Drosophila melanogaster: one gene and its partner. The protein of the gene in region 1 purifies or fractionates together with the protein of each later gene. This does not show direct contact. Each region holds a gene or a part of one and is shown on either strand. Other genes may lie near its edges.

Region 1 (16,787 bases):
GAATCCAGGAGACTGCATAATAATCTTAAAATCCTCGCAGGCGGAGCACTCTTACAAGCTGAACCCTAAGCTGTTAGTACAGCTGCAGCACTGCGAGGAGCACCAGATTCCTCTGGTGGTTGTCCTCGGCGACGCAGAGCTGGCGCAGGGATTGGTCAAACTGCGTGAGGTGACCACGCGCGAGGAGACCAACGTAAAGCTTGAGGATCTGGCCGCCGAGATCCGGCGACGGCAGCAAGCCTCCGCCTAGGCTCTTTTCACGACACTGATATTAGCGACACTTAAACGCTCCCGCTCCTAATTTATGAACCATCCAGCATCGAAGTATATGAATTTTTTTTTCCTATTTGTACGTTTTGTATTCTTGGTGTCCTGGCCGGAGGCGCCGCGTGCTACTATGCTTAGGTCTACAGTGTAACCATAGGAATAAGTGCGGACAACTTATACCAAAATGAACACTAAAAAGAAACAAATAAACGCAGAAGCGACTCGCATTTAAGCCGGAACCAATTGTTTTTCTCGGGTTTCGGTTCAATATTTGTTCAATATGTGCACGACTTTATCATGCAAGTTTGATATGTGGGCATTGTTTCGTTGCCTGAAAGTATGCTCCATAATCCCATAATACCCACCAACACATGCCACTTTTTTTTTCTATACTTTTAGGCTTTTGCGTAATAAGTTTTGATCCAATTAGCATTCCGTTCCGAATGAAAGTGAAATGCAGTCTACAAGTCTTAAAATCTAATGAATGTCAACTATCTTGCAGATTTGCGACGCGGAGCACCAACCCAGTCAAGATCGGTGTCAGCATAGGGATCGGGAGGCGGAGGAGCAGCGCCGAGGAGCAGAGGTCGGTGCCGTCTGAAGCGGTGGCCAGCATGCCGGAGACGCTGCCCGCCACTGCGACGGTGACGGCGTCGAGCATCGACTGCACCGTGGCGGTGCTCAAGGTGCCCACGCCCACCCTACAGCTGCCGGAGGTGTGCAATCTTCAGAGCCTGGGGCTCATCATGGAGCCCAACAACATCAACATCGAGCTTAATCCCGCCGCCCTCGTCACGCCCGCCATGGAACCAGTGGGTTTCAAGGTTAGTCAGTCGTCGATTAAAAAACCCAGAAGCTATATTATATTCCTTTACTTAAAATTTTGGCTACAAGGATTGAACGCACATCGAATTAACACTGATGGCTCCTTCTCGGGGTTATCGGGTACAGAGAGTCGAGAGCAACACGATATCCCGGAGGTACTCAAACGTTTTAAAGAGCGACTGGTGGAGGGGCAGTAAATGTTTGATGCATTCCCCAGCTGCTGCTCCGTTTCCGTCTTCGGCTCGCAGGTTTTGGGGAGGGGAAATTCCACTGCCGCACAGCCACCGCGAAAATAGCATCTACTGCGGCTCGTCTGCAATCTCAGAAGGTTGCAGCTCCTTATTCATTGCCCACTTGATTATGGTAACGATGCGATCCGCTAGGATCGCTATGCACTCATCAGTGGCTGGTCCCAGAATAAAGGAAGCATAGTGTGCCCGGTCCATATAGGATCGAATTGACCCTTGTCCTGGCTCCTCCCTCCTGTTGAAAAAGAATCGACGAACGATTTGCATGCAGTAGCTCAAGGCATTCCATAATAATTCAAAAACGTTAACGTAGATTTCGCTCGGTTCCTCATGTCGGCGGATCTCATTCCATCGATTATTCAAGGAATTGATCAGATGGATCAGCTGTTCCGGAATATCGTTCTCCTCTGAGCTAACCTCGGAACTCGCCTCCTGCATCGACATCTGGTTCATCGCGGAGCTTGGCTCATCAACATCCACTTGCTTCTCCTCAAACTTCTTAAGTATCTGTGCATGGAGAGAATCCATGCAACTTCTGAGACGATTTTCTGTCCCGAAGGTGCAGGAATGGCTAAAGAAAGTGGGGTTATGATGGAGAACTTTTATGTTACTACTACTCTCCCCAATTAACATATTGGGATCATAGGAGGCGTTGAGGCCGCCCCTTGCCCGTTCATCCAGATTGATGATACTCGTTGAGGATTCGGAATTTGTGCCCATCCTGAGGAATCTTTCCTCCGATTTCAACATATTTTCGATAGCACTCTTCAAGCCCAACGGCTTCGCCGTCATCTTGAGGCAATCCAGCTTCGGATACAAGAACTTTTCCTCACGGATTCTCACGACGCATTCATGCGGCGTCGCATTCGTTGCAAACAGATTCCGTAAACTCCTCTTCACGGTCCGGGGATGAAGTTCCTTGCAAGGATCGGAGGAGGCATACAGAACGTAGCGGCCCGCCGTGCTCCGGTTCAGATAACGATCCCGATGCTCGGCGGACAGCTGGCCCACCAGCGATTGTAGGATGTGCGTGTTGAAGTACTTGGTCATCTTGTGTTCAAGGCGATTCGAAGAAATTTGGTTTTTTTTTTTTTAATGTTTGTTAAAATGTTAAATGTTACTCGTTTGTTCTGTGTACGAAGTTGTGAAAGGTAAGCATAAGGCTTTAACTGAAAGTGAAACAGTTTGGCAGGAATGTCCCAGCAGCATGATCCCATAATTTACACTGAGCGCAAAGAAGGCCATGGAAAATGATTTTGAAACACAAAAATTACAATTTTTGCATGTTAAAAAGAAATTGTTATTTATATATATAACAAAATAACAAAATAACAATAATCATTGCATCATAACATTTCAGAGTGCAAGAATACCAATAACCGTATATCCACTTGGTATTTTCTTCTACCATAAGCATTCACATTTTCGCACTGTGTACCGCATTTGGCATCTCTTAATTTAATTATGCACAGCAGAGAAATGTCAAGCGGTTCGCGGCTGCTCATCGCCTCGTTTTTACACTCGAACTGAGTCCTGATTGAGGCTGTCCCCGCATTTCTCATGCTTCAGTGCGTCCAATTTGATGGCAAGGTGCCAGGGGTGGCTGTTTCAGGGGGGGATTCGGCGGCGTTGCGGGTTCATTTCTGCGGAGGGCGGAAGTGGAAAGTGGGGTGGAATCGCCGCTCCTCATTCAAATGACCCAACGCAATGTAGCGGCGCGCACTGATTCTGACAGGCGCCGCCACAGAGATCTCCGCCAGCTAATACTGTTTTAATATGAAATTTCATTTCATTTCATTTCAACGATTGTCCAACAATTTGTTGTTGCTCTCCACGGCCTTTGTTGTTGTTTTTGCTGTTGTCGGTGTCTCTGCTGCTGCCGTTGACATGTCACTGCGATGAAGTTGAAGGTTGCCAGGGGTCGCACAGTGTGCTCGAATGGCTCCATTATCGCCCGATGACCATGCCCTCCCACATTTAATTTTAATTTAAATTTTGTTTATAAAAAACGTAAAAATATTTAACTAAATTCAACACACATGCACATTTCTTTTTTTGCTCAATTTATTATTATATTTACCAAATATTTTTAGAAGGTTTATACGCGTACATATATTGATATATAAAATTTTGTGTTTATTTCAGTGCTTATTACTTATAATTATATATTTGAATATATATTTTTGCATATATCATATGTAATGTTTATTATATTTATTACAGCTATAAATATTTTTATTAATAAAATAAATTAAATGCTCTAACACCCTGTTGATATTAAATGAATTTTTATTTTTCGAATAATACCCGCACAACTGACACACTTTATCTATATCTATAGCTATTTATCTATAGCAAATACATATTGTCCCACTGTTCAGCACGGTGGTGGGATTGCAGTGGACTGTGTTGGGCTAGGATTTCGAGGTAGCTGCCCTTGGTAGCTCGGCTCGAACCCCGTGTGCAGTGATTTGTTTTAGGGGACTGGGATTGGGATTGGCATTGGGCATTGGGCAACGGGAATTCCGAGTGGAACTGGGAAGAGGGTGCACTTCAGAGGGCGACTGATATCATTCAATGCTTCTAATTTACGGATTAATGAAGGCGCAACTTTACATATGGAAATGCTAGCTGCACCGCGGCGATCGTGGGAAGCGATTAGAGTGGTGCGGTGGTTTGGTTTGGTGTGGTGTGGTGTGGTGCGGTATAATTGGGTTCGGTGGTGCGAGGGAAGGTCCCTTTTAAAGTCGCCCGTCGCCGTCGCATTGTCATTGATGGATTGGGTCATAAATTTGTGATTTGCTAAGCTCGACTGCCATTTTCCAGTCCAGCCGATCACGAAGTTAACTCGTATGAATATTTATGCTTAGCGGGTAATTTCCAATGCATGTGGGAGTACATATGTACATACATACACATGCATACTTATTTCCCTCGGTCAGTTTAAGGTCAAATATTAATGTATTAATGCCAGAATGAACCAATAAATTCAGCTTAGATTCGAGTTAAGGCTTATGTCTTTTATATCCTGAGATCCCTGGGGGAGTTCCTTCCTCAGTTTCCTTGCAGATAGATACAATCCATCTGAGCTTTAGTTTTCCAAATCAAGCTCATAAAAAAAAATGAAACAGGCGTTAGTGGATAGACTTTCTAAAGAATTCATTGGTCACCTTTTATTTTGGCAGTTCCCAGGACCAATCACAATCCAAAGGATTGGCACTACAGGGTGTCTTGCTTGTCATACATACATATATCTATGTATGTATGTCCTGCGAACAAACACTAATAATATTAATAACGATTATCGCCCGATGGAAATGAATCTGGCTCGGCATCGGAATCGGATTCAGAGTCATAAATACACGACGCGCACTCACTCACTCACTCACTCGCTCACCTCATTCATCCGTCCATTCATCGATAGTATCTCTGCTCCGGAGCGATCCGGGTGGGTCGGGGGCAGAATCCGGGCAACGGAGCCACGCGACGGCAGTTGCTTATCGCGGGTGACCAGAGAATCGCCACGTGCGATTCCATTGCCAATTCCATTCATAGTTCGGCCAGCTCATGTGTGCCAACAAACGGGTGATGAGTACGATGGCGGGCATAAAACTAGCATCGAAATAAGTACTATACCTTAAGTACGTCGGAAACTTTACACTTAAATGGTATTTAGTGCGGTGACTCTCAATCTTCTCAATATAATATTAGAAACTTAATATTACCTTGAATAAGTTTCAACATCAAGCAAAATTTTTTAAAATTTAACTTTATCTTAAAGCTCCCTAAGTCGAGATTCTTAAAATCTAGTCAAATAATATGAAATGCATATTCATAAATGAATCAGTTACCTTCCTAACGATTTTATGACAAGCCAATTAAACTACTAAATTGATCGGCTGCTCGTCTGCTGCCCGCTGCTGTGCTGAACCACTAGCAACTGCTGGTTGGGCGGGGGGGCGGTGGACTCGAACCAGGAACAAAGACAGCGAGCGGGACCAGCAAATTTGCGTGCAATCGTTTGGCCTGCGTTTTTAATGACTTTTTCGACTCCGGCCGGGTTATGCCAACCCCGACCAACTGTGGCAATGGCAATGGCAATGCATTTAATTCGATTATGAGACGCCGGCTTCCTTGGCATATAATCATTTCGGTGGTGGCTCGTCGAAAAGTAATTGAAACTCCGACTGTAAGTGGAACGCAGCCAGGCGATTGCCCCTGCCCCCATCCTCACGTGCGCCGGAGTACAACTAATGTGGGTGTTAACGGTGTGTTAAGTGATTCGCCATTTGTTGTAGGATCGAACCGAACAATCCAAATTCGATGGCGACGTCGACACCCGATAAGTATCGGATTCCTTGGGCACTGAACAGAGTTCGCAGTTCCAAATACTGGGTGCTGGGTAACTGGTCTGAGTACTGAGTACTGAGTACTTGGCACACACGTTTCACACATATTTCAAGCGCCTTTCACTGCGGATGAAACTTTTTATTTCCGGTTTAAAAACGGATGAAGTGGCAGTGGCACAAATGTATCGACTTACAGTAAATTGTGGCAGCGAGGGATTGGAAATGCTTGAGGAACTTAAAAACTTGTGATTTCCCTTCTAACCCCTAAGTATTCTTCACAGTATCAAGGATATTAGTGTGTGAAAATACTATTAACATGGGAATGTTTTAAAGTTGCTGGTAGAATTGAACTTATATTATTTTAAACATTTAAGCATGCTCCAGAATCCATCCAATTTATGGCCATAATAATCAAACTAGGAACTCTAATTCCAAGTATTACCTGCTAAAATATATTATTATATATCTATAAAAATTAAAAAATTCATTATAATACTCACAGTTTCTTGTTGAAAAACCCTGCTCATCCATATCGCTATTTGTGTCCCACTCGTTAATGGGTTAATTTAAAGGTGCTATTTATCTCGACTCTGGAAAATGTCATCCCATGTCGCCACCACCCCGGATTTTCCCATTGTTTTTCCTATTTTTGTGGCCCCTGTCCGGAGAGCGGCTAATGAAAACTAAAAACTTCAATTACCAAAAGAGCCAAATAATGCGTTTTTAAACCCAAAAATGTAAGAAAATTGTGATAGATGAGGGTTTGGCAATGTTTTTTACGGGCCACTTGTTCCTGACCGCCCAACGCTACCCCTTTTTGGAAGCAGCGCCCCCATCTTTAAACAAAAAGAGTGACCAAAAAGGCGCAACAGCGACCGAAAGAAAATGGCAATAAATCAGGGTAAATAACACACACAAGTAACAGAAAGTCCATGGAAAAGGGGGCGTCACGAAAGGGTATTTCGCCCCGAATTTCCCAACGGGGTGATTATTTAAAATTGTGCAACGCATAAATAGAAGTCCAAGTTGGCAGGAGGCGGCAGATGTGGGACCCGAACCGAAATCTTCTGTTTATGCTCTTGTAATTGTGTTTTTGGCTTATTGCCTTTTGCTCGGAATTTGTACCGCAGGGATACACACACACTCGGCCCAGTTCCATGTTCCATCGACATGGTCAAAATCAGCTGGCGATCGAATAGTATAATATAACTATGAAATACATTTGGCTGTTTCTCAGAAATGTTCGTCTTTAATGCATTTCAAATGGAATGTCTTATGAAATACATTCTTATTGTTTTCAAATACATCAATTCGAATAATAATCGTCAAACAAGTGAATCATATGGCACTCGTGAATATGTTTCATTAAACGAATCACATATCCACCGTCTTTCAAAATGTTATGGATGCGAACATTGATATCGCTTCGTAGTACTGTGTGCTCCAGATGCTTTATGCCCTCTAGGATGTTTATGTAAGGTATGGGACACTGACGGCGTGTTCCCAATATTTCAAATCTAAAGGCCAGATTGTGCTGGGCTTTCTCCAGCTCATAGCAAAATGTTAGATTTTTCTTGCTTGTATACTCGGTGATGCCGAAGTCCAGAAAGTAGACACGGTAACGGCAGCGAAATATGTCAACGATTTTGGCGCGATGATATCGCCCCTGATATGGGGCCAGAACGATGTCCCAGACGCGAAAATCACCTGTGCCCCTTTTCATAACACTCTTGCTCCACGTGGGCACTGTTGGTCCATCAGCGAATCGGGCGTAGAATTCGGCATGGCTAACGATCCTGGTGACATGGACGCGTACAATGCTACCACGTTCGCGACGCTTGGGTCTATATCGTGCAAAAGATTTGGCCACTTCCCGATCGTTTGCATCCATATTTCCGTACTCATCGCCCGAAATTGGTGGTAGTTGTGCGGATGGAATCTTCCGAATGTTGGTCCTATTCCTGATCAGGGCCACCAACAGTTCAAGGCCATTACTGCCGAGGACGCGCAGTCTAACATTTTGGGTAATAAATATATGCATCTGGGCCACATTGACCAGGCGGCATTTGATCGTTAGCGCCGGCAGCTTCTTGAGATCATCCGGCAGCGCGAAGATGCGCTCCATGCCGGACATGTTGGTATATTTGGCAGCGTCGATCATATAGGCACAGTAGCCCATGGGGTGAACGGGGGCATTAATGGCGATGCGAGAGATGCGATTCTCGGCCTTGTCGTAGAATGCAAAGATTTCGCCATAGTCGGGCAGCTGCTCCAGTTCCTGCAGTTGCACCTGCCCCATGGCTAGACATTTCAAAAGCTTGGAGCCCGGTCCATTGATGGTCACGTAGAAGACCGGCAGGCTCTCGAGCAGCACGGTGCCGGTTAACTTGGTGCCTATCGCAATTTCACCGATTTGGTCCGTGATCTTGTAGAAGGTTCCCACAACGGACCGCATGTGACCGCCATGGGGAGGATATAGGCGGCTCTTTCGCGGATTCCGCGCCAAACTGCTTAGGATCTCCTTTGAGTTGACGCACTTGGGGACCGCCCGGATGGGCTGAAGCAGGCAGCTGGGAATGGATTCTGTTTTCATCAGATTGAAAGTGCCTCCTTCCATTTTATACAGATGTGCTTATAATTTCAGGGAATAATTTAAACTACATATTGCCTTGTCAAAATGGAAGACAGTATCAGGGTAGCACTTCTTATCAAAATATCTCAAATAATATCAAAATTCTTGTTTGGAACTAAATGTACTTTATTTTGTGAAGTGAATAAAAATTGTTAGATTTCACCATATACTTAATTGTACGTAAATGATTCATGTTGCTGATTATGCAATGGCACTACAAATAAGTGTCAGTTTAGTAAGCTTTACTTTTATTAGCAATCAGCATGTGTCCTTGTTCCGCACTGTACTGAAAAGTAGGACCGTACTTAAGGATTTACCTAAAATTCGGCCACACAACAGTTAAATTAGCTTTCTGGGTTCGAAACCAAATGAGAGGGGTTAAAGAGGGGATCAGCTGATTTTGGCTAGATATCGATAGTGACGCCAAAGTTGAGCTGCGGAAATGTCGCAAGTTGAGCAATTGCATCTGAAATCTCCGCCAGAAACGGCTGCAGCAGGAGCAGGATCTCCTCAAGCAGCCGCTTCGGTGGCCGTGGCAGCCGATGCCAACGAAACGGAGCTCATGGTGAAGGTGGTCATGGACATGGGCTATCCGGAGGGCGAGGCTCGCTTGGCGCTGGCCCAGAGTAACAACAACGTGCAGCGGGCGGTGCAGATCTTGGTGGAGGGAATGGATGACGGCGAGACGCGCAAAAGGCGTGGCAATCGCAAGCGATTAAGGCAACTGCGCAGCTCCCTCATGGGGAATCCACTTGCCACGGATGAAGCCATCATCGAGATGATGCGCGATCAGAGGATCGCACAGACGCTCGCCGAGTTGGTGAACGGCAGCAGTGTGCAGGCCATGGAACTGCTACTGTCCGAGGAAGTGGATGAGTCCGAGAACGAGCAGCCGGAGGAGCAGGAGCTTGAAACCAGCCAGGAGCAGTCATCCTCATCTGCCGATGACTCTTCGCCTAGCAACTGAAAGGGAAACCAGATACTAGTTAGTACTGCTTACATCTTATAAGTTAAGGTATAGATATATGAGAAGTTTAGTTTTCAAGTCTACTGTTAAGTTAAAACAAGTTCTTCATAGTTACGTTTTTAGTTTGCTATTATGTTTAAAAAATGCCCTTAACTTTATAGTAAGTGTATATCAGAGTAATTAATGTTGATATTAATCCACCATGAAGTCTAACGAAGATTTCCATGTTAATTTTGTTAATTTTGTTTTCATATCTAAAAAGTGTCATCAATTTAAAAGTATACTTATATTTTAGTTTATTTTCAATTGTGGAATTTCGTGAATATTTGCATTAAATATATTGCTAAGCTGTTAGTGAAGATGAATCGTCGTTGTTACTTTTGGAAAACTTCTTTTTGGAACTCCTAATCTAATTTTTTCCATAATAAATAGGCAAACTATAGAATTTTTTAAAGAACCTAACAGTTAGAAATAAGTACCATTATTTTTGTAACATTATTATTGTCAATTAAGAGCAGTATATGGGGAATCAGGGCAGTTCGAGGACGAGGATGTTACCTGATGTGCTGGTCCCTAAAATGTTTGGGTTCAACCCCAGCCATCGGGAGACATTAAATGCATTAGGGCCACCCAGGCCAATTTTCCCCCGAGCACTTTGTTGTTGTTTTGGCGGATATGACTCCGGTCAAGGAGCGGAAGAAGCCGGAACTGAAAGCAACAGCAACAGCAACCCTGTGGCAATAGCAATGCGCAGCTTGTCAACCCTTTTCGGCCCGATGATTAATGATCGCTCTTTTATTTTTTCTACTCCAGCGTTTTGTACTGATTTCAATTTACCGCCTTTGCTCACCAGTTCTTTGGCGTAGATTGGAGTACATATAGTGCATCCCTTGGATTGCCTTGGGCAAGGGGTAGAGGGGGGTATTTCGCAGTTGAAAAATTCTAATTAATTTTGACTTGCAACCGTTGACACTGTCAGCCGCAGCCACGTAACCCACCCAGCGTTTATCGCGTTTGATCGGCGTTGCGGCGCACCGCAAACTACAGAAGGCGTCAACCCCTGGACGTCCGTCGTCCGTCGTCCGTCGTCCAATTCCTGAATATACTCCGGTGCTCCGCTCCGGTGACTGCTGCTCCACAATCGGAACTCGAGGCGTAAGCGGCGCCGTCTCATTTATCAAGGGCAGCCAACTGTCGCCGCTCTTTTTGGGCTGTCTGGGGTTAAGATTGCGCGGGTTAAGTCAGATTGCAGATTGCACAGCGAAAAAGTATGGCAATATATTGAAAAGAAATCTGTGTTCTGCGTGCTCTATTTTGTTTTTTTTTTTCTTTTATATTAACGACGAATGAATGAATGATGAATTATGCCAGTCAGAATAATGCTTAGTTAAGTAACTATTCTTATAGCTATTTATCTGGACACATAAGAAGCACTCAAGCTGCCTTTGGGATATCAAAAATAGAACTCTGCTGGTGCTCTTCGTCACTACGTGGATACTCTGGTAGTGCAATCATTTTGATGCCTTTAAGAGATGGTTTTCCCAAGCTTAGAACATCGCAAGGCAAGTCTTTCACATAGGATCTCTCATTTGATCCATTGTAACTCAAATTCTCAGGCATATACATACATGTACATTGACCATTGACCTTTCACAGCGTGAACCCGATAAGGTAACGTTTTCCGAACCCTACGAGTATTTCAGCACCTTCGATAAGAACCGATTCGATCGGGGTTTTTGCTACCCGTGCGTTTCGAGTTCGGTTCGGTTCGGGTTCGCTGGACTTTAAAAGGCAATTGTCACGGCCCGTAAATTAGATGTGGAGAAATCCGTAATTCGATACCGCCGATGACGTCGCTGACAATGGCATGCAATCAGGCCTGGTTGTCCGTCGACCATTACCTTTGCCGCTTGTTAACTTCGTTTGCATATATGTACAGTTCGGGAGGCGGGTCGGGTATGAAGGGGCGGGGCATTATCAATATGTTGACAACAAGCGAGCAATAATAATTGCAATAACAATTTGCCGCGAACCCAAGAAGCGTGCGAAATGTGCCAAAAGGCAGCGAAGGGATGGGTTTCGATCCGGTAATTGGCCACATACGACAATACATAAAAGATGGCAAAAACTGGTAGCAACGAGGCAAGACCTCGTTTATAAGTCGATCATATTTAAACGGATTGTTAAGGCAATTTCCAATGCAAATGAGCCCGCAAATGACGATGACAAACGAAGAAGGCCTGGGGGGAAGAAGCCTACTTTGCGGCAATCGATAACCGCAACCGAGAGTCCTGCCACAGGATATATGGACACGGTTATAGATACAGATATAGAGATAGATATACATATACATATGTATATGCATGTGTATGTATGTACATACAATAGATGCCCGTATGTATGCAAACCGAACCGCAGTTCAAATTGAAGTGCCAGCCCGGTTGGCTCACTTTTTATTTGCCCAAGCGCTTAATTGTGTAAAAAAGGACCGATGATAGTCCTGCGGCTGAAGGAGCAGCTGCCGAGGGCTGCCAATTAATAGATGGAAATGGATTTGCGTAAGAAATATGCGTTGCCGTTTCCACCCCCCCCCCCCCCTCTACCCACTCGCATTTCCATGGGCCAACAATGGCGAGCGAGCGAACCAGAGACAATTAGGCAATTATTTGCGCAAAGGATCAAAACCAAAACAAAAAGCCCTGCCCTGCCACCCATTCACCATCCGTTCACTGCATCCATTCCACCACCCAGCCACTCACCCCCCCCTGGCCATCATTCGAATGCTTGTGGGAAAGCGTTCAATGGGTCCATGGGCACGAAACTCGTGTGTTCCAAATTCCGAGGCCAACAAGGATGAGCAGCGCCAGCTGAGTTGACCAGGTGCTTGGTTAGCCTTTTTAACTTGGGATCTTGGTTTATAGCAGAGTTCTATAGATCGTTATTTAACTTCTTGATGGGTAAAATCAACTTTCTCTATATAGGAAACCAGATAACACAGAAACTAAAAATAGATGAAATACTCGAGTTCGGTTTTGGTGATCCCGAACACTGACACATTGTTGTGTTCTGCTATCCCGATTTCAATATTTCTAAAAATAGGATTTATCTTTTATTAGATTTTGATGGAAAACTATACGTTTTAAAAGAGTGCGCTGTTGAAAAAACAAAATTATTTAACCAAGCTACTGCCTTGGTGACCCCGAACTATTGTGCTTTCCACAAAGAATCTTCTATAATTAGCATGACTAATGATCAAATGACGTTTAAAGGTTTGTGATATAAAACATTACCAATGTTTATTAACCTTTTTCAGCCACTTTCGGGCGGTGCACATCACTGGCTCTGGGAGCAGAGCTTAGGTGAAATTTTTGGGGTGGGACTGAAGTCGGGTTTCGTTTGGAGTTTGCTTGGGCCGTTGCTTTTAATTGAACATGAGCAATTAGCGTGCAATTTGTTTCGCTTGCGAATGTGAACCAACGGTAAATGGGGGCAGCTCACTGCCGTCCTGCAAAACCCACCCGCCACCTCTCTCACGTGTGCCACGTGCTTTTTTTGTTGTATTTGTCTCTCTGTGTGTGTGTGTGTGTGTGTGTGTGTCTCTTGCCAAGAAACGCACTTGAGCAGAATTAATTTTAAATGCGGCTCTGCACGCGGCTAAGTGATTATGTCCTAGGCAGAAAGAGCGAAGCCATTCGAGCTGGAAGCTGCCCATTCAACCACCACCCACTCGCCATCCACCACCCACTGCCCCCGCCCCCCTCACCACTCGATTGCTCGCATGTTTAATTATAATTAAAAAGCACAGCACAACATCTCCAGCAGCATCTCCCTTGCCAAGAGAGCATCCTTCAGGCTAACCTGATCCATAAACATTAAAATGGTTAATTGAGTGCTTAGTGCGTCCTTGCCACCCCGCTCCGCCCACTGCGGCTGCAGCATAATATTAATTATTTTAATTGAAATGTTCATTATTTTACATCTAATTTGGCGCTAGGTGCGTGTGCCACTCCCCCAATTCCATTCATTGAATTGAAATGACCCCCATCCCCACTGGTCATCGTTTCCACATGCTGGAAACTAGGCACAGTGGGCCGCACAGTGGGGCCGCACAGTGGGCATCTCACCTCATGGCACTTTCATTGAGAAGATTGAAACATCGCTTAAAAGAAAGTATTTCAATATTTAGAGAATACTTTTTAAGTTAAAAAAAAGGAGTTAATGTGAGTTTTAAAGGTGTAATACGTTGAAAAAGCATTGCTGGTATTATATAAACCCCTTTTTTTATCTGAACAAATTAAATATGTGAAATATCTAATAGATCACCCCACTCATATCTATGCCTTCCGATTTGTCCCACTGTGCCTGCCTGTGCCATATTTAATTCTTTTTATTTTCGGCCTGCTTCTTTTGGGGTTGTTGCAGCAGTTTGGCGCGGGGTTTATTATAAATTTTTAATTGGCTTTTTATGTATGAATAATGCCTGCACCCCGGCACCCCTGTCCATCGTAACGCGGCCGCCCGTGGAGTTCAGAGTGGTGCCACCAGTAGAGACGCTCCTGTTTCTCCCCGAGAGATGGGGTAGTTTGGCGGATCATTTATGCAGTTAATTCATTGTGCGGTTATTATTCTTCCTGCACGGCAAAAAAAAAACAAAAAAAAAAAGAAAACAGCTTGACATCCAGAAGATGATTTAATAAAACGATGTTCAATTGTGCTGACTTCCAAATTCTAGTTTTCATCACCTCCAACTATTTCCTTTGTGTGTCAGGGAGTATTTTGCAATTGATGATATCAATTTATACATTTTTTAGAAGGTATCATTGTCATTCATTCATTTGATTCATTTCAAAGATGGATAAGTAATTTAACCTAAAGTCTTTATGGTTTAGGATTTTGTTTCGCTATCCTATCAGAACTTGTCTACAAAACACTATTTTCCACCTATAGCTCAGTATATTTTTTTCGGTGTGGGAATTAGTAACGGTACAAAAGGGTTGCATCGCTGGCTGGTGGGTGATATAATGTACAAATCGCCAGAATGGGGCCGAAATGGCTGAATGTCACAAGAAGGAAGAGGAAACTATCCGGCTTGCGGCAGCGAAGCTCCACCTACAAAGGGGCACAGGTGCGCCTACGCAGGTGGGCCGCATGCTAATAACAGTGCCTTAACAGAGCAACCCTCGGCCGCACCTGTGTGATAGGCGGTCGGCGGCCAGGAGCGGCGTCCAATAGCAGCGCAGGGCCCCAAAAAGCAGCCCCAACGCCGGAGAGCGAGAGCGAGTGCGAGAGAGAGAGAGCGGAAACAACCCTCGCGTTTCAAAATAAAAAGCCGGTTTCATTCGGATAGAAGGAAAAGCCAGGCGAGAGAGAGCTCGTGCTGTCGACGTCGACTTCGACTTCATTCATGCGGCATTCGAAAATTAACGACATTCGAAAATTCAACTTCGGCGCTGGCGGTTGTGAGTGCGCGCGTGCGATAAACAGAAGAAGAAGAACAAGACGACGACGACGTAGCGAAACGCAAAAGTTAGCGAAATCATAACAAAGTCACGGAACACTGTTCATTTTTTTTCCTGTGTACATGCCACAAAAAGGTAGAAGAGAAACAACAGCAGCAACAACAGCAACGGCAGCAGCAACAGCTAAACAAGTGCGAAATATGCAAATTTATGAGCTAACTAATTGAGTCGAGTGTGCGTGCGTGTGTGTGGTGCGTGTTCGTGTGCGTACGTGTGTGTGGCAGGTGTTTATCAATCTCTCCCTCTCTTTTCTATCGCTCTCGGTGATCTTGCACCCACACACAAAATCAGGAATAACAAATAACAAATAACGAATAGCGGTAAACGTAAATACCAGTAGCCTGATCTCACGGTCTCTGTCTTGCCCTCCCCCACACTCTCCATCTCCTTCTGACACGCGTGTGGCGAGATTTCGCATTCAATTAGCGCTAAAATTGAATAACATAAACAATAAGCAAAAACGCATTCCTCTCTCTCTGTGCAGCAACAACAATTGAATAATAACGACCGGACCGGACCGAACCGAACCGACCGCAAAAGCTAAATAAATAAATAAATAAATACACAACATACGCAATTACAACAGCAACAGTAAGAGCCTTGTGCTTCCTGAGAACAACAAATACCACAACAACAAACAGCAGGAACAACAACTCAATTTCTGCATATGTAAGTTGAAACTTTCTCGCCGGCGATCCTTTTAATTAGTTTACGTTAGTTTTCCGCCCAACACGTCTGCTTGTTTATTTTTGCCATTTGTTCTAATTAAGAACCAAAACGAACTGAAACGAACAGAAGAGGCTCTCCGTTCTCCACTCTCCACTCTCCACTCTCTACTCGCCGACTTGCTAATTGCCTCCGTCTCGGATTACCCAGCAAAAACAACAACTACTTGCAGCGATCAGCAAGAACCCTGCATGTACACACACACACACACACACATACACATATGTACAAACACATATCGCAAAGGAAGCTGGAGAAGTTGGGAAAATAATCAGAAAAACCAACAAACGCGCAGAAAAAGATGCTAAAATAAGCTCATTTTTTAGAAGAACACAGAATAAATTCCAGGGGTTGGAAACAACTTTTATGCCTTAACTGTTAAATTTCAAAAGGAAGCAGACATAAATATAATAATATTGCACAGAAATGCAGACTTACCACTGTAACTGAAGTGATATTTACGTAATCTATAACTAAAATAACTAGCTTTATTGAATTTAACATTTTAATTAGTGTCAAAGTCTTAAGTGAAACTTAAAATAAGCATTCTTGCATTGAATTCTATAAAACATAGCAATAATAGTAATAGGCAGTTAAACTTTCATGACCAGAAAATTACCTAACTCAAATTCGCTATAAATCAAAAACGTTTTGTTAACCGTAAAAACTAGTCATTTACGCTGAACTCATTCTAAAAGTCGAAGTTCTGTTAAGTTGTACCTTTTTAAAGGCAAATTTATTTAGAATGTTCAATTTTCGGCTTGAAAAACTGTGCTACTAAAAAACTGGCGTTAATGTCGTTATATCTGTTCTCAAACTCATTAAGATTTGTTTGGAAACACAAATTAAGTTTATTTCATTTTTGTAATATTAAGCACTATGCTCTCTGTAGTGTTGCGTTTCGTTACTAGTTTAATGTGTTTGCAGTTTAACTGTGCCATTTGGCAATTATAAGGTTTTAAGCCCTAGAAATAGACTTCATACGACCCTATATCAATTTTGTGATTCCATGTTATGATCGCCGAAAGTCACACAATCCTTATTGGATGACTCCTTACTGTTCCACTTGGAACTACTCTATTTGCACTCAGATCCCATTCACTTTCCCATCGTTGTGCTAACTTACTCTAGCTAGGCACTCCTTTGAGAGGCCTTGGATGTTACCATGGCCACCCGACCGCCGCCACCAGCCTCCCCTGATCCCAGTTGCACCGTCTAATTGGGAATTTCACACATTTGCATGCCTCCACCGCC
Region 2 (16,450 bases), on another chromosome or scaffold:
CTCGTCATCCTGGCAACCACAGCCTCCATTGGACTTCTTCAGATGCTGGGAGCAGTCCTGCGTCTGTGGCTTGGTGGTGCAATCCTGTTGCTGTTCAGATTGGAGCTGTTGCTGCTGCTTCTGGTGCTCCTGTTGCTGCTGCTGCTGCTGCCGCATGCAGTCCTGTTGCTTTTGCTGCTGTTCCATCTGCTGCTTCTGTCGTTCGTCCATGGAGCACTCGCAGTCGGGATCGGTATCCGGCACTTGCCCTTGAACGACAATTAGTCCTGCTCCTTTTTGCTGTGGTCCGGCACATGGACAATCTGGATCGTGCTGTATCCCCAGGGTTCTCTGCTGTTGCGATTGAGATTGCTGTAGTGCTTCTTTCCTAGAGCATGTACACTGGTCGTCGTCTACTTTTTGCTGAGATCTCTGCATTTGAGCTTGTGATGGCTGCTGTTTCTGGGAGCCACATATTCCACAACTCGGCGCATCCTTTGGCTGCAATTGCTGCTGGGACTTTTCCTTCGCTCCTGCGCCACATGAGCATTTGCCATCCTCTCCTGGTTGCGTCTGTGACCGTTGTTTCTGGGCAATGCCACAGGAGCAAGGAGGCTGTGTCTGCTGAGCAAAGTCACTGGTTGCAGTTGTGGCAGTCGACTTGTGCGACATGGTTCCCACCATTGAAGGAGCGCCACACACGCACCGTTTCTTGGATGGCTGATCGTCCATATTGGCCTCACTGGTAATGATGTACTGGTATTTTCCGGATGGCTTTGATCCTCTGGATTTGCTCTTGCTACCCTCGTCGCTGGTGTCGGCCAAGCTTATCTCCTTGCCGTACTTGCAGAGGAACTCGATGATCACGCCGTTTGTCCAGCCGTAACCCAGCGGAGTGTTTTCCGGCGAAGATCCTCCAGATGTGCCGAAGTCCTCGCAGTAGTACTGCAATAAGGTGGTAAAAATCGGATTAGGAAACTGCCATGTTAGTGCGAAATATTTTTTAAGGCCGATTGCTCACTGTCAGGTATTAGAACCTGTATGACAATCTAGTAAAAGTTAAACTTGATGCTTGAGGTCCTAAAATACATTATATAAAACACAACGATACCACGGATATATAGTAACTTACCTTCTCGAACATGAAGCTCTCGTACTTGTATGCCGCATAGTTGGACTTCACCCATCGATGAGCCCATCGCTTGGACATGGCTTTTGCCGGCGGAGTGCCCAGATTCTCAAGTCCCTCGATGATCAGGAACATCATGGGCGGAAAGACATTGGGGTGATCCCAATTCTGGCCCGACTCCTTATTCATCGTGTACGGCACACCACCATACTGCGCATCCAAATCATTGGTCTTGATGTACTGCATCACCCCCTTGGACACCTTCTCAGTGTCCACCAAGGGAAAGGCCCTGGCCCACAGCGGAGCAAAGTTGGTGCAGCAGAAGTAGTTGCGTGGCTTGTTGTTCACCAGATCGTAGTCCAGCCAAATGCCGGCTTGGGCATTCCATAAATTATCCCGAATGGCTTTTACTAGGACACATGCTCTATCCTGATACTCATCGGCTTTTTTCGTATTGCCCGCTTTGCGATTAAACTCGGCCAGGATCTTGCCACTCCGGAAAACAATGCAGTTCAGCTCCACGGGCACAATGGCAGATGTTTTGATGTCTCGAAAGGATCCTTTATTGGAACCATCGACGGTCACATACCAGCGTGAACTGAAGTTCGTACCCGATTCAGCAGCCGACTTGAGTTCGGTGTACATAACCTCTCGGACCACAGGACTCTTGATGCTTGCCACACACTCCAGATCTTCTCGATAGGCCTCGGGCCTGGGTCCTGCCGAGGAATCCCGATACTGATACATGGTCCTGCCCTTCACCTGCACCGAGTGCTTGCTGATGAAGGTATCGTATTCGGTTTCCAGCAGCGGCAAAGCTTCAATGGCGTACTGCTCGTCCTTGGTCACCTCCACATATGCCTTTACCATCATGATCAAGAGTGGAGGGTTCGATCGACCCGAGCAGTATATCCGGCCACAACCAGGCACAAAGCCGTACTGCTGAACCAATTCCAAATAGTTATCGATCATGCCCCGGGCTGTTTGATGCATGCCACATTGCAGCAAGCCGCGAATGATCCAAAACGATTCCCAGTAGCGGTACTCGCGGCAATTTGAGGAGGGAACAATGAAAGGATTCGGTACGTAGATAATGGAATACTGATCGGGGTTCTCCTTGACTTCATCCTTAATCCGCCGCCCCAACTCCTTCCAAAGTCCATTGACATCCGAACCGAACTGCTTTATTTCCGGGTCAGAGATCCTGGCAAGAAACGAAGGCTGTGCTTTCCAATCCGGCGGTGTCCAGTGTTCCAGCTCCGAGCCAGGATCATTGAAGTGCTTCTGCAGTAAGAAAATATTTCTAAAATTATACCTACTTTATAGTGAAATTTCTTTGGGTTTTTCTTAGAGTTTTTTTTTCACATTTTACCTCGACAAACATTTGCAGGAACCTTAGAGATCCATCGTTTCTGCGGCAATTGGTGAACATATCGAAGTCGGCCAAAGTTTGGGCAGGTGTAAAAATGCAGCTCATGTCCACAAAGTGTTTGCAGTCGGGAAACATTTTCGATCTCTGGACAGCATCCAGCAAGGGACCCTCGCAGAAAACACCTCTATCTCAGGCGGAATATAACCAATCAGTCGGAACTTCAAGTTCGAGGACCTTTCTTCCACGACTCACCTGTTTTCTCCGCCCAGGACCTCTGCACCGCAGCGGCACTTATTCGCCATCTTCAACGAGTTGTTGCCTTTTTTGTATAGCGAAGTTCAGGCTGAGTGACTGATAACCGGTCCAAATTCGGGTTTCAGCCTAGATGTGAATCCCAGGCGACTGGGTTTTTTGGGGCATAAATCAAAAAACCGAGCAGCAGCAGCCTCTGTTATATTGACCATTAAAGCAAATTTGTCGACATTTGCCATTAAGAGTCAACAATGCTCGGCCATAAATCAGCGTAAATAGACAGGAAGCGCCTGCGAATCCTCAGCACTCCTTCCAGGGCCACACATTTATTTTAAATTACCATAAATGCCCCTGACCGAAAACGAAACCAAAACAAGAGCAGCGTGGCGAACTTTGCCTAAAAGCTATTGGCCCCTGTGTCCATTTGTAATTTCCAGACAATTTATCAAACCAGCAAAAGCAGTGAAAGCAGCAAAGGAACAGCAAAAGCAAGGGGATGCCAAGTGCCGAAGGCCAGAAGTCGGAATGGAAATGGCGCAGAAAATGCGCTTCAAGTGGCCATGGCCATGACCATCGACTGGATGGATAGATGGAATGGAAAGCCGGGGGTGGCGGCGAGTTCAAATAAAGTAAAAATTCTTCGATTCGTGTACAATCAAATTGGGATGGTGGAAAATGGGATAGTGGACAATCAGCCGCGGGACGGATACTTCATAAATTTCTTCGACCGATCCACTTTAATGCAAGTTTTTGGCATCGGCATCTGTGTGGAAACTTCTTCAAGTACGAGAATTCGAAGGAGTACGGAAATTAGCCTTGTCGCAATCGCATTCTCTGTCGTCTGCAAAGTTTCAATTGAATTTTCGTCCGGCATAAAAATGCAGCAACTTGAACTTTTCGCCGTGTACGAGAAGCGATCATCAACCAAGTAATTAATTTTGCATATGTGAAAGTGCAGCCAAAGAGGATGGGCATGGATGGAAGTCCTGACACTTGTCGCTACCCCTTGACCCCTCGGGAATGTGATCAACTTAACGAGGTGCCGCCAGTGAGGAGTCATGGAGCCAGTGCACCGATAAAAAAGTTAATAAACCTAACAGCACGATTAATTCCAAGTAATATTTTAACAATACTTAAGCAGAGGAGAGGTTATAAGAAGCTCCCAAATGCAATCCATTCTCTTCAAGAACACAAGCTACTGATATTCAATTGCCTATAATGAGCATCTTCTTTTTCGCTCAGTGTAGCTGCACGCTTATCATCATCGTCATCCGCATTCGCAGCTAATTGAGTATTCTTCCCTTAAGTGGACACAGCCGCCGCTGGCGCCTTTCAGCCTCATTTGCAGGCACGCACATAAATCAATAAGTTGCATTCGGCCTTAAATTAATTAAAAGGAAAATTCGCAAAGAGCAGTTGGTGTAGTTTTCCGAGTTTACTTTACTTCCGGCTGGCAAATACAGTTGCAGTCTGTGCTTAAACACTCCGCCATCTGACAGCAATCAATCAAAAATTTCACTGGCCTTAGCGCGACGGGTGGCGCCGGATGTATCACGTCCCAGCACCACACAACCAGCAACCACCCACTGACCACCCAGCGCCCCCCACTTCCAACTTCGAAGGAGCAGGAGCAGGAGCATGATAAATTGTCAACACGCTGACGTTTGTCTGCAGCGATTTAAAAACTACTTAAAATGTAAATGTTGTTTCCCTGTTGCTCTGCTGCTGTGTTTGGGTTTTATGCACACGTCGCGCAGCGTAGACTGCGAAAATCATGTTGTTGACTTTGAAAAAATATGTGTAAAAATGCGCTATTGTAAATAACAGGAGCATAAGCCCCCGGGGTGAGCCAGAATGCGGATAGGGGCGCCCGGCGAAGTGCCTCCAACTTGACTGACTGTCTGAGCGAGAGTGATGACATGGCAATGTCAACGTTAGCTGGGGCAGCAACATCGGTGGCAACATTCGTTCGCTGCCACGAACCACGCATATAGCGACTCCATGAAGATGCCACGCCTCTGTGATTGCATTTTTACACTTGTCATGGCGATTTGGACCTGTGTTGCCTTTGCTTTGTCAGCTCTAGTGTTTGCAGCTTACACTGTGCAACACACAAGCAGCAGCCGCAGCAACATCCTGCTGTCTCCTGCTTCGCTTCCACTTTGGGACTGCTGCCACCCAAATAAGTTATAAATTCAGCTGTCAAGTATTTTGACAATTGATTAATTGAAATCGACTTGGAAAGTTACTACAGTTGATAAGCAGGCGCATACACACTCGCATTCGCCCGCCGCCGAAGGAAACGGAAGTGGGCTGTCAATCACTCCGCTCATCCCGCAGCCAGCAACAACCATGGATCATTTGTTGATGAGCTAAACTTTGACCCGGTCAGAGATCAAACAAAAGGGGCTAGGGACTACGGGGCAAGCCGCAGACGCTCAAATTAAGCAAGAGTCTAGTTAAACAGGAAAGTTTTGCACCACACCACCCACGATAGACATCTCCGGCTGCCCTTCGAGTTGACAACCTAAATTGTTAGTTGGCTGATAAGCCGCCAGTCGACTGCCGACTGCCCCGCCCCCCATTCGCCGGAGTGGGCGTATATAACATTTTTATTTATATCACTATTTTTTATTTACTGGGTCGGGGGGTGGAACCAAAACCGAACGGAACACGCGCCACATGCCAACGACAAACAAATAAATAAAATTCCTCTTTCGGTATGAATGCCACCCCGCCGCTGTAACCAACGTTTTTTTTTTTTTTCGAGGGGTCAACACTGAAGAGAAGTGTGTGTGTTTTACAAGTCTATTAACTTGTGGCGCTTATCTAATGCTGACAGCAAGTTTTTCACTTTGCCAAAGTTTTGCCCCGGAAAACGCAACTTCCCCTTCGGTTGCGGGGAGTGGGAAAATTGTGGGAGGGACTGGAGGAGTTTCGGGGCAGCTCCGATGTCAATAATTTGTTGATCATTTTTCTTTTTAGCCCATGCATAATATATGGCCGGCATTTGTAGATGACCACAAACATCTCTTCACTGCACTGCGCGGAAAATTATCGAAGAAACATTTGGATAAGGATATTAAAAGATAGAAAACAAATTTTGAAATTTTCACATAAAATTTTTTTTTTCAAAATGTAACAATATAACTACAAATTCTATTTACTTCAAGTCTTTTTAAGCTTAATCCTATTTATAAACACCACGCGCGTATTTTTCTTTGTAGACAACTTAGAAACCTCTATTCTCCAGCGGCGAAAGGAAAAGTGCCAGACTGTCGGAGGTAAACTTTTGCTTGGGAAAACTCTTGATTTCCTTGGCCATAAGGACAGGGAATTGGTCAAGCTAGTGGCTGCTTCATTAAATGCGACGCCAAAAAGTTGCATCCGTGGAGCTGTTGGAAATATTTATGAACTGTTCGACTGCTGCCGGTGGCATATATATACTATATGGTATGCGCAGTGAAGCATGGTTCTGGCCAAGTTCGAGTGTCACACCCCACCTGGCCACCTTTTTTCAATAAACGTTAAGCATTACGGTTATTAGTTTCTGGACGGGCACATAAAAACTTCAAGTCGAGTCGAGAGGAGTCACCAGACACGAGACTCTGTTGCCCGGCGAACGGGGACAACAACTTTGTGTTGCTTCTTTGCCGATGCTATCGACTTATGCTGTTGCTGTTGCAGTTGCCACTCTGTAGCAGCAACATGTTGCAGATGGCGATAGGGGCTGCGTTGACTAGTTGACTATGCTGCCATTCTGGAAATGGCTGAATGGGACCTATGGAAATTACGGAAACCGTGATACTTCCAAGTGCATTACATGCAAAGTCCTTGCGGCAGTGACAACAGCAGCAGGAGCAGCAGTTGCAACAGCAGTACAACAGCAACTTATTAACGCGCAATCTGAGCTCTGCAATTGACCGCAATGGAATGGGGCGGGGTGCTCTTTGGGGGCCAGTAGAGGATTCTGAAGCAGCGGCGATGACGGCCACGACGACAGACGGAAGCGGAAACGGCAAATAAACGCACGAGCGCTGACGTGCGGGCACCAGCGTGTCAGCGTCCGTGTCTTTGTGTTGCCGCTGCATGTACGTGTGTGTGTATTTGCTGCACTTGTTTGCATGCAACGTGGCAACATGGCAACGACAATGGCAGGAACAACAGCAACAACAGCAAAAGCAACAGCAGCAGCAGCAGCAACGGGCATTTATCTGGCTGCCCAGACCTGCCACGCCCCTCGTAATACATTGCGGTCGGGATGTTGCATGTTTGTGGGCGCTCGCCTGCGTTTGTATTTTTTTAATACCCATGCATTTATAAGCTGTAGGGCATGCCCTTTTTATAAATGCTGAAATTTAAAAAGTAAATAGAAAACTTATCAATCATCTGATAACATTTTGTTACTCATTGGGTTATTATTAGAAAGCAATAGAGCTCATATTTACTGTACTTTAATTAAATATATTATTCACTTTAATCAACTTTTGTTTCAATTTAAAAACAAGGCCTCCCTTATCAACGTACTGTTTGTAAATAAAAGTTCTTAGAAAATCGTGATATTTCTGTTCTTCTGTATGTAAATTTTTCTGCATAATCGCTTTTACTGCACTTTTTGAGCTTCTGACTTTTCGTTGTAATAAATCTTACAAAGGGAATTCAGTTTTGCTCCGCTGTTTCAATTGAGATGACGCCTGCAATCGTTCTGCTGACTTTTTTAGTAATCCTAACCCTGGGATCTTATGGATATTCGCAGCTATTGGATTCAAAATGCATTGCATTGTTTCGAATAAGAGTAATTGGTGGTCAGAATGCTCGAAGGACTCCATGGATGGCTTACTTGATACGAGATAACAGATTCGCATGTGGCGGCTCACTGATTGCCTACCGTTCGTACTTGCAACTGCAACTAATTAAGTATTATAGTTTATAACGTTTTTATTTATTTCAGGCTTTGTTCTAACCGCTGCCCATTGTACGAAAATCAACGACAACTTGCAAGTTCTTAACATTCTTGCCCTGACTTTCTGTTTACTTTTATTGTTTTATTGCAGATTTGTTAGATTGGGTGAATACGATTCGTCGAGGACAACGGATGGACAGACTAGAAGCTACAGAGTTGTTTCAATATATCGTCATAAAAACTATATAGATTTTCGAAACCATGATATTGCTGTGCTCAAACTGGATCGCCAAGTCGTCTACGATGGTAACTCAGTGCATTTCTATACATATTAACCCATATCTATACTCAATCTATACTTAATTTACAGCTTATATACGACCAATTTGCATTCTTTTAAATTCCGGCTTGCAGTCCCTTGCAAACAGCATACAGAATTTTACTTTAACTGGCTGGGGTCAGATGGCCCACTATTACAAGATGCCAACTACACTGCAGGAAATGTCCCTGCGCCGTGTTAGAAATGAGTATTGCGGTGTTCCGAGTCTTTCCATATGTTGCTGGAATCCCGTGCAGTACGCCTGCTTTGGAGATTCAGGCGGTCCATTGGGGTCACTTGTGAAATACGGACATAAAACCATATATGTTCAGTTTGGAGTAACCAACTCCGTGACGGGCAATTGTGATGGCTACAGCTCATATTTGGATCTCATGAGCTATATGCCCTGGCTTTACCAAACCTTGTTAAGAAACTGGGTCTAAATAGATCTTAACTGAAAGTTGAGTGTGTGTTCATTTCTATTTTTAGTGGGTAGTGCGCAGTCTATAGGACATTTTACTGATTTTATTGGAATTTTCCCCGGGCGCCATCGTTCGCATGCACGGCAAGGATTTCTCTGCTTAATTTGTGGTTTTCAACCAAACAGAGAAACGATGGTAGCAATGGACGTTGGACATTGGACATTGGACGTTGGCAGATGGCGGAAAAGTGGCGGACGAGTCCACAGCTAACCAACTGTTCAACAGCAATTGCAATTGCAATTGAGGTTGCAGTCGCACGAATGTTCCAGGAAACCCTTAAATATGATTATGGCATACGAAAGGCCTACGAGCAGAGAGTCACTTTTCATGGTGGCGCTGATTTTTTCTGTTGGCCATCTTCGCTGGAATCTTTGCGGCACACGTTCGGTTGCTTTTTGCCCAAAAGATTTCCACGAACTGGATTTAATTGTCACACATTACGGAACCACAATTACATAGAAAAATGCGCCAGCCAGCCAGCGGAAATGGCAACAATGCAAATGCAGCCACTGCAGCAAATAATAACCACCGACTGTGGCCAGCAAGGACCTTCGCCTCCTATCCTCTTCCACCCCTCAAATAAAATGCGCCATTTGCAATTGTAGTTTATTTTAATACCGCAATTAGTGTTGTTCTCCGGGCGGAGTGGTGGAGTGCTGGAGTATTTGTGGTTCGGTGGTTTGAGCACGCAATTGTTGGAAAGGTTGGAATATCCTGGCGGATCCTGCCACGTTGCCATGTTGCCACACCATTTGAGGTGGCCGCATAAATATATATGTATGTATATATGATGATACAAGGTATGCAAAGTTTTTCCGGTATAAATGTACGATTACCAGTCTTTTTGCACTAACGCAATTGAAAAGCTGTCCATTTGGAAGCTCGGCCATTTGGAATTATTTGTGCCGCAGCCGCTGTTAATTGATTTTTAAGTGCCAACTGCAATCAGGTACTTCGATATGCATCAGGTGACACATGCAGGCTCAAATTATTTTCATCCAGCCTCGGAAAAAAGCGTTAATGTAATCAGCGAAGAAAAAAATGTTTGCAGAATACCCTTTTTAAGCAAAAACGAGATGAAAAACCTTGACGTTTAGCAAATGAAACCACTTCGGTTTTAATCTCCATTAAACATTAACTTTTCAGTAATATTGTAGCATTTTATGCAAACTAGAAGTTTTAATCATGATATGAAAAATCTTCCTAAGTTCACTAATACATCTGTTAACTATGATTTTCTTGTGTTTTTTGTTAAATTACAAAGTTGGCCTAAAATGAATAATTAATTTTCAGTGGTATATACATAACCCTTTGATATCTCTTAGGATTTTGAAGCACTCCATAACATCAGACAATATCAATCCGATTGAAAGTTAATTGCTCACCTCGCTGATCCCCTCGATTGGTTTTTCCTTCTCTTTTTTTCTGTTCTATGTGCAACGGGTGTAATCACATTTTATGTTGAACGCACTTAATTTTTTGCTCCAACTAAATGCCAATTAAAATGCGTAATTATTTTTTAATGGCATTTTGTGGTCAATATCGGACGATTGACGATGATTGCACAGCGGTGGATCTGCGGAGTTGTGGAACTCCACTCCGATGACGGGATGCCGTCGTGACAATTCACATTTATGACGAGCAAATGGCCAGTATCCATATCAATTGCATGACTTGTCAAAGCGGCGCCCGCCTAAAAGAAAAGTGCCTCACATGGGATCGCATGTGTGCGTGTGTGTGTTTGTGTGTGTGTGTGTGGTGGGGGTGGGTTAAAATCGCCAGCAATTGCAGTTCAAGCAAGGAATCGCAATAAGGACTCCGATGTCCTGCAGCCATGTTTCCCTGGCAAATGAAATTCGAGCAATCATCGCCATCAACATTTCGCTTTACTTCAAAAGGGACACGGCGGCAACATGCCGCAAGTGACAATCATTTATATTTAATAAACAACTAACGCATGCAGGACACACAGCAGCGGCCAAGTAAATAGCACTCAAGGCGTGAATGTGGTTTTCCTGGTTTTTAGTCCTTGAACAAGTTCAAATGAAGTTCAATGCTTTATATATAAAAATTGAATAAATATGGCACATTCATAAATAATACCACTTGAAAAAATTATATTTGTATTTTCAATATATTTCTTTCCCAATATGCTTTGTATTTTTATGAATACTACTTGAAATTACAAAATAAAGGTGGCAATTAGTGAATTGTAAGGCACTTATTATTTTCCTTTGTTTTTGAGCTAAATAAATTCCAATTCCAATTGCTTGCCAGTTGCTGTAAGACCTACGATTGGTGGGGGCGGGAAAGTGGGGAAAAGCCGTTCGGAAAAACAACAGCAAGATGACGAGACTAAGCGGCCATTGTCTCCGCCCCCCTTCGAACCCCGCCCCCTTTGCAATGGAAATTGTTTACCATGCATTTTGTTCGATTCCGAGTCGAGGCGTCTGAATAATGCAGCAGGTAGTATACGCTGATGGAAAAGCGGAAAAGCGGGCGTGGAAAATGGGGGGGCGGTCAAGTAAATAAGCGAGCATGAAAGCGAAGACGAAAACAAAATGGGGCAGATAAAAACAACAACAACAACAACAACGCCAAAAGGACAACAATGCTGCAGACACAAAACCGCTTCGAATCGCTTTGGGCGGCATTCAAATTGAATATTGAAAGCATCGAGCACAAAACTGCCAAACGCTTGAATTATGCATTAATGATGTCTGCCACACTGGACAATATAGTGAAGGGGTGGCGGGGGAGTAAAGGGGGCAAGGATTGAGGGGCGTTTGCAGGATACAAGGGGTTTTTTTTTTTTGAAGCCAGGGACAAGAACAACGGCAATGCGTCGTCCTCGTCGACTGACCATCGCTTATTAATTTTTTATGCGTCTGCTATTTTTATGGTCGACATGAAAGCGTTGGCCACAAGCCTTTTATTTTCCTGACCATTTTCGGCTAGCTTTCAATAGTTTTTCACCGAAATTTCCATTTCAACCAGACGCGAGTTTGCGTTGAAAAAGTTACTAAAACTTATCCTACATAGGAGATTTTATTAGAAGAGATACTACCTTTTAAAGTCAAACGCTTAGAATAATTTATAAGGCTGATTATTTATTCCTGGCTTTTTAAAATAATTTAAAGATAAAGATTTCCAGCTTCATTGATATAGAAATGTCAAAAAAGTTCTATAGCACACGACAGTCATACATTTATTTAACCAATTAAAGCGATTCGAAATGGCATGGTGTTTAAGTGCTATTGCCATGTCGCGCACTGTCAATACAATGTCAATATGCATTGTTCGCTAATGTATCGCCAACAAAGTTTTACGCTTTTTGTCGCCAGATTTTCCCTTTGGCTTAATTCCGTTTGAACGACGAACGTTGCGTTGGACAGGATTTTGTCCTGCAAATAAAACGCGCCCTTGACAATGGCCGTCAATATGCCGATATCGGTGGACAGAAAGACGTTAATTACCAACATTACCGCGCGCCCAATTATCAACCGCACAAATCAGCGGTGATGTAGGTACGGGTAACCTGATGCACCGTGTGCGGGGCAATGGAAAACTCATTACATGCCACAGGAGCCATCATCCGTGATTCGAAAGATAGCACATAGGTGGAGCGATGGAGCACAGGGGCAGGTGGCCAGGCGCCACGCCCACAAGGAGCGACCGCAACATGCTGTAATGCGTGGCTCTATCAGCATTTGCATGTGCAGCTGGAGCTGGAGCTAAATGCGCCCGATACTTAAAGCCAACTAAAGGCCATATGTTAGCCTACACTGCCAAAGGACAAACTTAATGTCAACACGCTAATCTGTCAGTCGGCAGGAGTTGCAGCGCAGGATGCGAGATGCAGGGCGCGGAATGGGGGATACTGGCATGGCGGGGAGTTGGGAGTGCGACTGCAAAGGATCTGCCACAATGTCAGGCCACTTAAGGAGCGCTGAATCGCAGCGCCTCGCTGCACAGGAACTCAAGGATATTGGAAGTGGGCGGAAAATGGGCGGGGAACACTCCCAGAAAATGCAGCGATTCTTAGACAAACTTCAATCCTTGGAACTTGATTAGCTATTATTACTTAAGGCAAACGATTAAAAAAGCTTCTGCGTAAAGGATTAGTAGAAAGATATAAAAGAATCCCATATTCTGTTAATCTGAAATCAACAGATTCTGAAATGAAAAATATTCATATTTCAGATAGCTTACTTCAAAATAACTAAAAAGAATAGCCTAAATGGTTTAAAAAGCATATAATACATTCAAGAATAGTGTATGCTTTTTAAATAATTCACAATCTTTTGAGGAAATACCAACAACCCAACTTCGCGCTGCTTAAAATTAATGATAAGTATGTTTAATATTTATAGAAAATTATTTGCTAGTGTATCGCCGCCTGGATGGCGCAACAATAATGCTGGACCCTTTGAAATGACAAAAATTGGTTGCTCTCCGTGCGGCTTGACGCCTGACTTGGCAGGAGACACTCGAGGGCACCACAAATGCCAAGCCGTCACCCACCCAGGCACCCAACTAAACACCCACTGCTCCTACAAGCAACGTCCTCCCCCCGCGAAGGACGCGTCTTATCAACTATGCAGGGCTTTGTCTCTAAGCGATTGCAGGCGCCACCCCCCCTTTCCCTTCCAACCTGCCCCTGCCCCCTTTTGCTCCACGCAGTCAGCGTCTTTTGTTGCGCTTAATGAATTTTACGTAAATTTTACGAGCGCTGATTTCTGGCAGCAGCAGCACCACCCCAGCTATTAATCCACACTTTGGCGAGAGCACCACCCCCAGTGGATGGGTAAATTAGTGGGTGGTTGGGTGGTTAGTGGGTGGATGAGACTGGTGCTCTCCTGGTTGTGCGTGTGTAATGACAAGTTCAACAACAACTCGACATTGTCGACTGGTGACGAGGACGACGTGCTCCGACATTTGTTTGCCCAAGTTATGCAAATATTTTTCCAGTCAAGAAGTTTTTGTTTAATTGCATATTTTGACTCGCATTACGCGTGTCATAAAGCAGGGATCCGGAGCTTACCACAATGCCAGAAGTTGGGCGGGGATTAGAGGCACTCGAAAGACATGTTCCTGCATTTTACAGTTCAAAGACCAAACTAAACAATCAGTTTTACGAGTATAGATCTTATTCTGCCCAGGCTTGCCATTGAACTATAGCTATCTTCCTTAGAAATTAATTTAAATTAAATTTATATTTAAGTCTCTAAGATGATATTTTAAAAATAATTCCTAACACAGACGAAATCATGGAGAAGCCTTTAATATGGTTCATAAAACATAATTTATTTGCTGCGTTCGAAACTGTGAAGCTGACCTACTTCATTTAAAAACGAAATTAAACCGAATATATATAGTATGTATACTTCTGCTTTAGACAGTAAAAATGCATGAAGATTGTTTGCTTAATTGGTTAAACTAAATGATGGCTAAATATATTACCACCTCATTTATGGTAATCCGAATAAAACGTTTAATTTTTTTTTGGAGGAAAGCGTTGGATTCGAATTTCATTGCCTGGACAAATTTAAAAAGTTTACATTTTTGAGGCATACCTATCGCGTATACGCTTTCTTTCTTTTCCAGCCCTGACAGTTTCCGAGTATCGAGTATCGAGTATTACTTTCTATCTTTCAATGACAATGACCGGCGACTTTCTCACTTTCTTCGTACGCTTCTTACTGGCGAAACACAAGAGCCCACAAAGGATTATGACAAGTGCTGGCAACTGGATTTCCGAGGAGCTGGAACCAGCTACTCTACTGTCGATTCAGGAGGATAATGGTATTGTTACCAAGGTGTACGTGGCGCCCTGTTTGCAGCCGATAAAAGAGGAGAAAGTTTTCCTGGAGGACAACACGCAACGCTTCCACTGTCCGCTTTGCTCTAATGTGATTCGCACGGCCGGTGCCTACAAGGTCCATCTGATGGCCTGCCAAAGACGCTTGGCACGCATGATGAAGGATGTGCCGGACGTGTCCCAGCATCAGTGCAACATTTGCAAGAAAATCTTCTCCTCGGTGGATGCCCTGATCGGCCACAGGCTCCTGCATGGAAGCCCATCAATGAATCGCACCTGTGCATCCTGCCATGTCAAGTTCGGGACGGATCTGGAGTATCGCACCCATTTGGAGAGCCATCTGATACCGTGCGAGTCCACGGATGAATCCTACGAAGGGGCGTACACCATCACCAAGACCTTCAATTGCGTCTTTTGTCGCACGGAGTTCAAGGCCTGCTTTAAGCCTGGCCAAGTGACCCGTCGATACGCGTGCGACGCATGTATCGTAAGGCTGAAGGCCCAGGAGGAGGAGAAAAAGATCTTAGGGAAGAGAAGGCCCGAATTAATCTGTGATCGTTGTGGGAAAAAGTACAAATATGAGGGTTTCCTTCACCGTCATCTGAAAACTTGCCAGATGCCGGATAAATGCAAAAGAAAGCGTGAGATTGAAATCACCGAGGTCAGCGAGGTAACATTTACAGAAGTTGTGCAAAGTTTTAATAATTGATTATACAAATTCGCACATTTTAATTTTAAATTAAATAAATATATTTTTTAATTGTAATATTTTTTATAATTTTCAAATTATGGCGCCCATCCCACCGATATCTATTTCGATCTGCTATCGATGTGGTCACACTTATCGATAAATCCACCGTGGCGTGGTATTTTTGATTTAAAGCGTTAGTCGATTTCCCGCCCAGCTGCACGTGTATATTTTTTTGCGGTCCAAAGAAAAGTTCGTAAATAAACGAATTTGCGTGCATTTCCAGCGAACACGATGAGTTCAGACGAGTCCAGCGACGGTTTGGAGGAGCTGCAGAGTCTGAAGGCCCTCTACGGCCAGCAGGAGCAAGAGAAACCGGCAAAGATCAAAAGGGAACGTTATATTCCAAAGGCCTCGCAGGCCAAGGAGCTCAACTATGTGGAGGTGCCCATGGAAAAGGTGCTCTTCGGCGACAGGCAGCGACTGCTCACCAATCTAGCCAAGTCCGTGGGACAAAAGTTGCCGAACGATGACGAAGACGAGCAGGAGGAAAATCCCGGCCAGGCAAAGCCAGGCGACAAGCGGAAAGCCGCCTGGTCGGATTCCGATGACGAGGACCTGCAGGTGGGCGATGTCAAGAAGGCCACAAAGCACACGGGTCCACTGAACCACCTGCGCAAGGATAAATCGTACAAGGAGTATCTTACGGCGCGATTCCAGCGCACGCTTAACCAACCCAAGTGGGCGGAAAAGAAGGTCAAAAATGAGGACGACGAGGACGTATCCTCCGACGAAGAACTGCTGCGGACGGTTGGCTTTATCGATCGTAAAGCCCGGAACAGTGATCTGCCCCAGAAGACTCTGAATTTTAAACGGGTCAAAGACCTGAACAGGGCCACATATGCCGAGGGTAATGCCACCAGCATTCAGTTTCATCCAACCAGTACTGCTGCTCTAGTGGCGGGCATGAATGGCCTAGCCACCATCTACGCCGTGGATGGGCAAAAGAACGAAAGGTTGCACAACATGCGCTTCAAGAAGTTCCCGCTGGCGTGCTCCAGAATTGCTCCATGCGGCACAAGGGCGTTCTTTGGTTCTGTGAAACCATTCTACTACTCCTACGACTTGCTGGAAGCCAAGGAATCGAAGCTAAAGCTGCCGGGCGCAATGGAATTTATGCACCGCTTTGAGGTGTCTCCATGTGGCAAATTTATCGTCACTGCTGGCAAGTTTGGAGCCATTCACCTGCTCACGGCCAAAACAAATGAGCTGCTGCACAGCTTCAAGCAGGAGGGCAAAGTGAAGGGATTCACATGGTCTAGTGACTCCAAGAGGATCCTCGTCTGCGGTTCCACTTCCAATGTCAGCGTGCTGAACCTGCGCCAGAACCTCATCGAGCACATCTTCATGGACGACGGCTGTATACATGGAGAGTCCATTCAACTGTCTCCCAACCAACGCCTACTGGCCACCGGCAGTCAAGAGGGCGTGGTCAACATCTACGA

What was found.
Region 2: the proteins of CG15047 (region 1) and CG15710 purify together in Drosophila melanogaster (affinity purification with mass spectrometry, with the first as the bait; one large-scale study listed by BioGRID). This does not show direct contact.

Annotation. Positions count from the first base shown.
Region 1 is NC_004354.4:18,519,949-18,536,735, forward strand, and holds CG15047 (uncharacterized protein), read left to right. Parts: upstream 1-8,734; 5' UTR 8,735-8,763; coding exon 8,764-9,288; 3' UTR 9,289-9,645; downstream 9,646-16,787. Other genes in the region: HisRS (Histidyl-tRNA synthetase), read left to right, coding at 41-250; CG6481 (uncharacterized protein), read right to left, coding at 1,392-2,390; CG15042 (uncharacterized protein), read right to left, coding at 6,996-8,306.
Region 2 is NT_033778.4:16,346,185-16,362,634, reverse strand, and holds CG15710 (uncharacterized protein), read left to right. Parts: upstream 1-14,107; 5' UTR 14,108-14,168; coding exon 14,169-14,966; 3' UTR 14,967-15,021; downstream 15,022-16,450. Other genes in the region: CG6262 (uncharacterized protein), read right to left, coding at 1-924, 1,112-2,392, 2,481-2,664, 2,733-2,782; CG30098 (uncharacterized protein), read left to right, coding at 7,420-7,621, 7,684-7,729, 7,787-7,941, 8,006-8,397; wcd (wicked), read left to right, coding at 15,240-16,450.